2 linked regions of the Coturnix japonica genome follow. The protein of the gene in region 1 purifies or fractionates together with the protein of each later gene. This does not show direct contact. Links are inferred from orthologs where the notes say so. Each region holds a gene or a part of one and is shown on either strand. Other genes may lie near its edges.

Region 1 (4,795 bases):
GAAACATGCTCCTCACCAACACCTGTCAGCACAGCAGTCCTGGACGCTCCATCCTTCCACAGGACTGTTGTGTAGGGCTGCTGGGGGCTCCCTTTCTCCTGGCCATATCAAGGTAGACCCCTTCTGCCATACAGCACTGAGCAGTGCCAACAGCAGACTTTCCAGCAATAGCTCCAGCCTCCTCAGCCCCAGGGACCTGTGCTGTCATTTCCTTACCCATCTTCACCAAGAGGTGTGGGCACCATCAGTATTTTCCCACTCCACAGGAAGCACCTCGCAGCCAATGGCCCAGCAGGAGGCAGAATGCAGCTGAGCAGCAGCTGCCGCTTGTGCTTCTTCTTGGTGGCTGAAGACTTTTGAGGACAGGTTGGCCAGGTCTCACCCGGCCTCCCAGCACTTCTCAGGCTGGATCACAGCCCCCACCTAGTGGCAACCAAGCTGTAAGAGACACAGCCTCCCTGTCACAGAGCAGAACAGGCTGGACACCAGCAGCTCCCAGACAGGGTGCTGGGGAATGAATGGCACTTGGCTGAACACCGCTGAGCAGGTCCCTGCAGCCCAGGCTGCATGCCACATGTGCTGAGGAACAGGAATGAGAACAAAAGCACGCCTCTGGGTAACGCTGAGGATGCTTTAGCCCATGTCCCCTTTGTACTGCATGCACAGTAACATCAAGAGAGTAATGGACCATGCACTGAATACACGTGTCAGGTACAACATTCAGATGCATGTCCTATGACACTGCACACATCTGCTCTGCACAGATGCAAGAGCAGCCGTGGAGTGGGTTGCAGCTCTTAGAACACCATCATGCAAATCAGTTGTACCTGAGTGAGCCAAGATGGCCTGAGTACAACACAAAAGGCAAGAACAGGGCAGATCTCATCAAATTCAAGCCCTTGTGCTTAATATAAAGTATGCTGAAGGAACAGAAACAATCTACAAAGCAGCACACACATAGCAGTATCAAGTCAAAAAGAATGAGGAGAACGAATGGAAGGAACCACTGGATGTGTGAAATGCACGACCGAGAACAGACACCAACACTGCAGAGCTCAGTATCACAGACAAGGGGCTGTCTTAAAAGAATTCAAAGTACCTTATTTTAATTTCTTGACATGGTAAAAGTTTACATACTTTCATCTGGCAAGGAGAGCTCAACAAATTAAAATAAATCAATACAAAGAAACACAAGGGGGAGTGCTGCTCCAGGACAGCAGCTACAACGCAGTTGGTTTGTTACAGAATATTTATTAGCGGGAAGACTAAGAGTTGACTTACTACAAACAACAACAGAAGAGTCTACAGCAAGGGCTGGTGGCCCTCCACACTCTGGGGAAATCCCTAGGAAACCAGCAAGAGACAACATGGCTCTTAGAGGTGGAAGCAGAAAAAAAATAGTTTTAAAAAAAAAAAAAAAGGAGAGAAATTTCATTCCATTTGTCACTGTTGTTACAATGAAGTTAACACAACTATTAAGGCTACTGCACAATAAGAATATATGGGTGTAACAACAAGACCTGGGAAACAGTGAGGTTCCAGAAATAAATGATTTAACATTCCCTGAATATGGGACTTAAGTAGAAATATTATAAATAAAAAATTTGGAGCCTGCAGCATTATGGGATCACTTCCCACACACAAAAACTGACGCAACACAACCAATCATTTCCAAAGGGGTTTGTAATGGACCATGAAATGTTCCAGCAGCTTAGAGGAGTCAATAGGCACACAAGGGTGCTCTTTTGCAGGGGAAAGAATACAAGGTTTGCAACGGTACCAGGTAGGAATTGGCCATCCTCACCCCAAGCACTATTGTCACAGCTGGCCTGCTGCGCCTGGACAGCAGGAAGCACTGCCAGGAGAAAGCAGGTTGCAGTCTGACCACACATGGAAGCTATCAGGAGTTTAGCATCACACCTCTGGCTCCTCCTTTCTCAGCCTGGGCAAAAGCAGCTCATACCAAGGAGGCATGAAGACTCCCATGAAGTTGGTTTTAACCAAGAAAGTGGCTCTAGTCAATTTGCAGACTGGAGCAGAAGCCATATGCGCTCACAACCAGCCAGTACAGCAATCAGCCCTAGTGACAAGCACAACCTTCAGCTCTGCATTGACCCGCTCAGAACCAAGGCAGAGACAGATGGGCCACGCTCTACTGAGTCAAAAAAGCCACAAAACGATTACAGGCCTCTCAGTGGCACTGCAACGTGGCTGTGGCCACCAACCCAGAAGGGGCAGGATCCTCTGTCTTTGCAAATAAGTCAGTGCAGAGCATAGGCAGAGGGGCTCAGCTGCAGCCAGCAGTGAAGAGAGCTGGCTTTCAGCCACTGCACCACCATCCAGGCTTAGTCTTGAGCTGAAGATGGTCTGCCCCATTCACAGAGACCACAGAGAAGTCTCCAGCCAAGAGATGGGACAAGACAAGGGCCTGATCTCTACTGTAGCTCCTACTCAGGTAGGAAGAAAGGCATGAAGGAATGTTCCTGCCTGGCTGGCGCTCTGCTCTCACTCTGCAGTAGCCTCTAGGGCATCCCAAAGCAGCAAGGCCTTTTTCTTTACCAGATATACTAGAGGGAGGGAGAGCTCCTGAGACCTGAATAAAACCAATCACAAAACTAGGTGATAATTTCTTTAGATTTTAACTAAGAATGCAAAACTATTTCCAGCCAGTTTCCCATCTCGATAGTCATGTAACAAACCAAGGCAATGACGGTCTTTAGTTGACTGAACAGTTCTCAAGTTCAAACGTTGACACTTAATAAAGGGTCTCAGCATTGCTGCTCCGAGGCCTCTTGATCTTCTCAATGTTTTTAAGGATCATGTCATGCAAAGTGACCTGCAAAAAGGGAGAACACAACTCAGAAATGAAGGGGGGATGTCACTTAGCATTCAGGTTTCACAACCACTGACTTGAACAGTTTCACAGCTCATCCTGGTACTACTTTCAACCCCTGCCTGCAATCACATTTCTGCTTAAAATAAGTGCTTTCTTCCGCAACACTTTAGAGAAGCTAATGTGTGCAATACAAAAAAGAGAAGACATCAAAAGAATGGTCTGTACTGCCTGAAGAATTTAGGATTGCAGCAGCGCTCCTAGAGCAGTGTACTGAATATTTTGCACTCAGCTCCCATGAATACTCAAGTTGGAAACATCCACATCTCTGGGAGATGGTGGGGAGCCAATAAACACTTAGCTCTTGTTAGAGCCAAAGCAGACTGGGGAAAAGATAGGCTTCTCTCCAGGACTAGCTGTAATCATAGGGAAAGAGGAGAGCAGTAGAAGGATCAAAAGGACTCTTTCTATTATGTGGGGAGCCAGTGAGAGCTCTGTTTTTTCACTTACATATTGATTCCTCAGCTCTGAAATGATCAGGCGCAGACTAATATACTCCTTCTCATCAATCTCTGTCACTGTGCGCCGGTAGTCCTCCTGCAGAAAACAGATGCATGGCTAAGAGGCCTGAGCTCAGGTGTGCTTGATACATGGTATCAACTGAAGGTCCTACCTTTTACAAAGGAATCCCCCCTTTCAGTTTCCTCTTCTCTAATGAAGATATTCTGCATATTCTTATATAGCCCCCCCTTTTCCCACAGGGCCCCTAGCTCAAAATTAAGACAGTGATGAAGTAGCCTGAAGAGTCCCAGAAAGCAACAGCATGTAAACTGTAAAGCACCACTTCCCCATTTACTTACCACATGAGGGTATTTAGCTATTTTGGAAACCAACTTGGCTCTTGTGATATAATATCTGTTAGGAAAATGGAGACTACAAATCAGACAAACAGTACCAAGATTCTTCCAGGCACAATCTGCCCCAGCAAAGCTGGAGGACCTTCCCCAAAAGGTTCCTTTTCCCAGCAGCACTCCCAGAAAGGGCTCTGTTCCTTCATACCTAGAAATCTGGTCCAGATAGGATGCTGCCTCACTCTCCACAGTTCGAAGTTCAGCAACTGTTTCCTCCTGCAAAGGAAGCCTTTTCATGATACTGAAACTGCCCATCGCCGCTCTAGAAGTACCAGGTCGTAGCAGTTCCATGTCAAGCTTAGATTTGGATCTTAAAACCTAAACCAACTCCACCACTGCAGACATTGGATACCATCAAATGATTTGGAAGAAACCTAAAGGTACATGCTCTTGGGGGCATAGTTCCCTGCCACAGTAGGGCATACAGCCTGTCAGTGGTTTACAGGCTGGTTCAGCCCGGTTCCGTAACTAGCAGGGCAGCAGTACACACAGACCCACACCCTGGGAAAGGGAAAAGGGAAAAAAGGGGAGAAGGGTAGAGAGATGGGCCTTAAAAGAAAACAGCAACAGTCTGATGAGAAACAAACTAATTTACTACATCAGATATCAAAATGCAAGATAACACACTATAATACAAGACCACAACATAGCCAACAATATCTTACCTGAATAGAAACACCAAAGTTGTTTCCATCTTCTATCCTGGGAATTAGAAGTTGCACCCACATTTTGACCTGCAATAGAAAGATCACTATATAGATCACTGTCAAGATTTTTACAGGATTCATACCACTGTCATTTATAAAATACAGAGGAACCTGCTCCTTTTCTCAGAGAACCTTCACACAAGCAAAGGAGCAAAAGTATTCTAGTGCCCCCATCTGCTCCAGAACTCAGGGCTGTGGCCCACACCCACCGTATTACACTTCTCGATAAGCAGCCTGATCTCTGGTTTCACTTTCTCAATGATGTCCACCAGCTGCTGGTTGCTCTTCAGCATCCCATTGGGCATCACAAATACTTTGGTACCTACAGTGGCAAAGAAGACAAA
Region 2 (4,460 bases), on another chromosome or scaffold:
CGTGGCAACAGAAGGAAACCAACCACTCTTGGGCCCAAGGGTTCCTTCCCAGTTTGGTTCGTGGTGTCCTCCAAGAGAAGCACACGACACAGGGGCGGCTCCAGCTCAGCAGAGTCAGCCCCTGCTGTCGGCTCCTGTCGGGATGTGGCGGCTGCTGGGCGGCAAGGTGAGAACTGGCTTCAACACACCCCCTGTCAAATCTCCACTGTGATGTATGTAAAGTATCTTGTATGTTACAAAAGGATTTTAAAAAGTGTCTTAAGGCCTGTAAACTCCGCTCTTTGGTCTGAAGATGGCATTCTGTAAAGAGACCGCTGTATGAATACGTTCCCGTGCTTTTTTCCCTATGCTATCAAACAACAAACCATATCTGTTCTGTATGTAATAAATGTGTTAACATCAGAAAGCGTCAGTATGTCTTGTTCCTGGAAAGGCCACCGGGGCTTCTGTGCAGCCTTTAGCAACATGGTGACACTTAAAGTGGTGAGAATGGCACCCAGTCAGCAGAAATGAGATGTGTGTTCCTTACTGTTTGACCAGGAAGGGCTGGTCCTGCCAGCCACGTGCCCAGCGCACAGCGAGGCTTCCCTTGGTGCTGGAAATAAAGGACAGATGCTTTGGCCCACAGCTGTTCTTGGGGAGTCCCCTCCAGCTGCAAGGTGTAAATCCACCAGTGATATTCTGATGCTCACCCTGTATCGTAAAGGCTAAAATTGGACCCCAACAAACCATCATGCGGATCTCCACGCACTGAATAAATAAATCACCCACCAAAGAACAAATTGTCTTAGAATTATGCTGTGGAAACATGAAATCATTTATTTTGGGTCTGTAAAATAACGTCACGTTTAACTCAGTTGTTCCTCCATGATTTAGGACTGACTTTAACTACATGAGAAACCTTCGATTTTTCAAGCTGCAAATGAAACTGCTCCCAAGCAGCGGAGCTGTGTGAAGGAGCTCTGAGTTCAGAGAACATACAGTGGATCTGACTGAGACCAAAGAGGGGAAAAAAATGAAAATCCAAATGCATCTGCACCTTCCCTTTCAGATGAGATTACAGTACAGTCCAGGGGAGGAAACGAGGTCAGTTGGATGCACTGTACCACTGTAGGTACCAAGGGGGTCTGCAGTAACGTCATGTACTGCCACTGTGAAACGAGAGCACGTGGGAAGCTCGGGACACAGAGCAGGACCTTAATGGACCTCACAACACTGTCCCTGTGGCGTCTTTCTTTGCAGCATTAACACGGGAAGGCCTCTGCACATCAAGCATTGGCTCCTCTGTGATTTCTTTCCCCTCTTTCTGCCACTGAGCAATGATCATGGCTCGGAGCAGAGGTGGGTATGGAAGGAACCAACACGTCTCCTCTGGCACCGGGGTGAACTTCTTGAAGGCCTCCTCCTCGTGCTTGGGCACCATCCGCCAGTCGTGATACATGACCTTGTCAATCTCTCTGTCTTCTTCTTCAGTTTTACCTGATAAAAGACAATGAACATTAGTGGGCAACGCTCAGCAGCTCCAGAAACTGCAGCAAGTGTCAACTCCTGTACGAAGATATTGAAGAAAGAAATGGCAAAGGAAAATTCCAACAGAGCCCCTGGTAGCAAAGGAAAATTCCAACAGAGCCCCTGGTACCATCAGTGCTGCGCTATGGGATCCCACTGCAGACCTTGGGATCTGACCAGGAACAGACTGAAAAGTCACAGACCAGCAGCTCCACATTGTGCAGAGGTCATGACTTGTAATGCAAGGAGCAGCTTGTCCTCTGTATTAGTTTCCATGGTAAACAATAAGAGCATCTCCACGCTATGAAGTTTAATGACAGAAATGCTCAACAACTTTAAAACCTTTGAATGAGAAACGTTTCAAAAGCTCTAATAAACGGGACTTATAAACACAATGTAAAGTGGGTTGGGAAATGGACACTTCACACATTCAGCTCCATGAGTTACTTTACAGTCTCATCCAGGAGCCCCCAATGCTGCTCCGATTCCTTTCCCTGCCCATCCCCGTGTGCTCAGCTCACACTTTACATCCATCCCAGGTCCGGAATCAGCCCCTCACCCCAACCCGCAGCTCAGCCCGAGCTCAGCGTTGCGGTTCCCCATTAACGTCCGTTACAGCCGCTCGGCTCGTGCCGTGACTCCTCACCTCTGAACGTGAGCCGCCCCCAGGCCCTGCCGTGATCCATCCCCTGCAATGAAGTTGCTCGTTCATTCCGGTGCCGTCACACGGCGGTTCCCGCTCCCCGCCCCGTTACCTGAGCCGTGTAGTCGGCGCGGACCTTGGTGATGACCCAGTAGCTGGGCTCGTCGTGCGCCCACAGCCACGACTTACGGGTGACCATGCGGCCCAACCCGAACAGCGGCAGCCGGCACAGCAACGAGAATAAACGCTGCTCGTGCCGCACATCGCGCCAGGCCAACACCGGGAGCCGCTTCTGCGTCAGCGGCCGCCTCATGGTCTCGTAGTCCAGAGCGAAGCGCTGCGAGTCCCGCGGCCGCTCCTTCATGGCGCGGTACTCGCGCACCTTCCGGGCCATGGCGGCGATCGGCCGGTGCAGCTTCTTACGGCCCATGGCGCCACAACCCGACCCCGCCGCTACCGGCACTTCCGGCGCCCTCCGGAAGCCGCTTCAGGCCCCGCCCCCGGAAGTGGCCCCGCCCGGTTCCCGTCCGCCTCCACCCGCCGCTTCCGGCGCCCCCCGGAAGTCCGCCCCGCCCCAGGGCCCCGTACCGGAAGCGGGTCCCGCCCCGCCCGCAGGGCGCGGAGCTGCCGGTGGGGGCGGGTTGTTACGGGCGGGATCAGAACAACAACAACAACAACATGGCGCCGTGTCCATGGCGACCGGTACCGGGCAGCGACGGGCGGGAGGAGCCGGGCACAGCCACGGGAAACGGCTCCACGTGTCTGTACCGACAACAGCCGCTGCCCGCGGGGCGGCACCGGGAGAACGTGGCTGCTTGAATTAACGAGTGGAGTGCTCAACGTGAACCGGCCGTCAGGGCGAGCAGCCGGGAACCAAAGCACCATCCGGCCCCGATGGCGGCCTGTCCGTGCTGTCGGTGTCCCGGTGTCCCGGTGCTGTCCCGTCCCATGTCCCGGTCCCGCCGTTCCCCTCGCTCCCACCCCCCGGTTGCAGCCGCTGACAGCCCTCCCGCCCACGTGACCGCTACCGTCCAATCACCGTCTCCGCCGCCCCCGCCCCTCGTGGTGCTGTGCTGTCCCGTGGTGCATTGCGCGGTGTCGGTAAGATGGCGGCCGTGAGTCTGAGGCTCGGAGACCTGGTGTGGTGAGTTCAGTGCGCTGCGCTGCGGGCGGAGCGCGGTCCGATCCGATCCGATCCGGTCCGGTCCGGTCCGATGGAGTGAAGCTCCTCCGCGGTGCCCGATGGAGCGGCACGGAGGCTCCGCTCGGAGCAGCGGGCGGGGCTCGGTGGGGCTGCGCCCGGTTCGGCCGAGCGCGGCGGTGGGGCCCGGCCGGGCGGTGCCAGGCGAGGCCGCGCTGCACCGGGAGGGGCGGGATCCGGTGGGTCCCGGCGGGTTCCGTGGTCGCCGAGTGTCTCCGTTCCTGTGACGCCGCCCGCGGGGATGGCGGAGCTGATGGCGGAGCTGCTGCCGGGCTCGGGCCCAGCGCGTCCAGGGGAGCGGACACGGCGCGGGGCGACGTGCGGGACCGAGGGGCGGCAACGGGACCGGATGGAAACGGGGCATCAGCCCGGGAGGGAGCGGAGGAAAAGGAGCGAGTGACGGAACAGCGGCGATTTGGGAACCGCAGGCAGCGCAATAACACGGGAAAGAGGCTCTTTGTTTGTCTTGCAGGTCAGGATGGGTTGGGATGTGTTAGGGTGTGATGTGCTCATTGACGCTCACTGACGCTCCGTCCCTTTGTCACTCCAGTTTCCCCCCAATACTCGCAGTGCTTTTGTATTTCCCGATCGGGAGCACTGAGGGGATTCCTTCGGCTCCGCTGCAGCAGCCGGGTTAGGGCTCCGTGCTGGGGCCTGCAACAAGTGGCTCATCCCCACACGCAGCTTTGTGTGTTTCCCTCGGGTCAGAAGGAAGGTTTGCTCCTGGCTGCGGGACAGCTGCAGCTTCTCATCTGAATAGCTGACAGTGCTGTGAAGCTGTTAAATACATGTATAAGAAAGTAAATCAATCTTCCTTCCTGCTCCGTTTGCTTCAAACAGGCATTTGGGCAGCACTGCTCTTGGTGTTGGAATGCAGATCATCCTGCTTTAGTTTTGTATGTGATGGCCTGGGCAGCTGCCAGCCCCGGGACCATTGCAGCAGATCTATAGCACCGAGACAATAACATATGAAAAGCTTTTAAGTATCTTGTTTAGCACAGGGATGGAAACATCGGGTATGAGCTGTGAGCTTGGTTAAAGTTCTTGGCAGTAGCTCTGCCTGATCAGTGCTACAGAATCTTCTGTACCATTCCCATCAGGAGGGGC

Evidence for each region. Proteins that work in one complex are often made in the same cells at the same time.
Region 2: the proteins of PSME3 (region 1) and MRPS34 purify together in Homo sapiens (co-immunoprecipitation; 3 studies listed by BioGRID and IntAct, counting the BioPlex papers as one, with this or other methods). This does not show direct contact. The link is inferred for Coturnix japonica from reciprocal best matches to the Homo sapiens genes PSME3 and MRPS34.

The regions. Positions count from the first base shown.
Region 1 is NC_029542.1:4,666,791-4,671,585, reverse strand, and holds the end of PSME3 (proteasome activator complex subunit 3), read right to left. Parts: intron 4,774-4,795; coding exon 4,661-4,773; intron 4,479-4,660; coding exon 4,410-4,478; intron 3,961-4,409; coding exon 3,893-3,960; intron 3,749-3,892; coding exon 3,694-3,748; intron 3,431-3,693; coding exon 3,344-3,430; intron 2,837-3,343; coding exon 2,756-2,836; 3' UTR 1,081-2,755; downstream 1-1,080. UniProt on the Homo sapiens protein: Subunit of the 11S REG-gamma (also called PA28-gamma) proteasome regulator, a doughnut-shaped homoheptamer which associates with the proteasome. 11S REG-gamma activates the trypsin-like catalytic subunit of the proteasome but inhibits the chymotrypsin-like and postglutamyl-preferring (PGPH) subunits.
Region 2 is NC_029529.1:12,398,200-12,402,659, forward strand, and holds MRPS34 (28S ribosomal protein S34, mitochondrial), read right to left. Parts: upstream 2,644-4,460; 5' UTR 2,583-2,643; coding exon 2,265-2,582; intron 2,199-2,264; coding exon 2,156-2,198; intron 1,480-2,155; coding exon 1,208-1,479; 3' UTR 794-1,207; downstream 1-793. Other genes in the region: putative oxidoreductase GLYR1, read left to right, coding at 3,259-3,296. UniProt on the Homo sapiens protein: Required for mitochondrial translation, plays a role in maintaining the stability of the small ribosomal subunit and the 12S rRNA that are required for mitoribosome formation.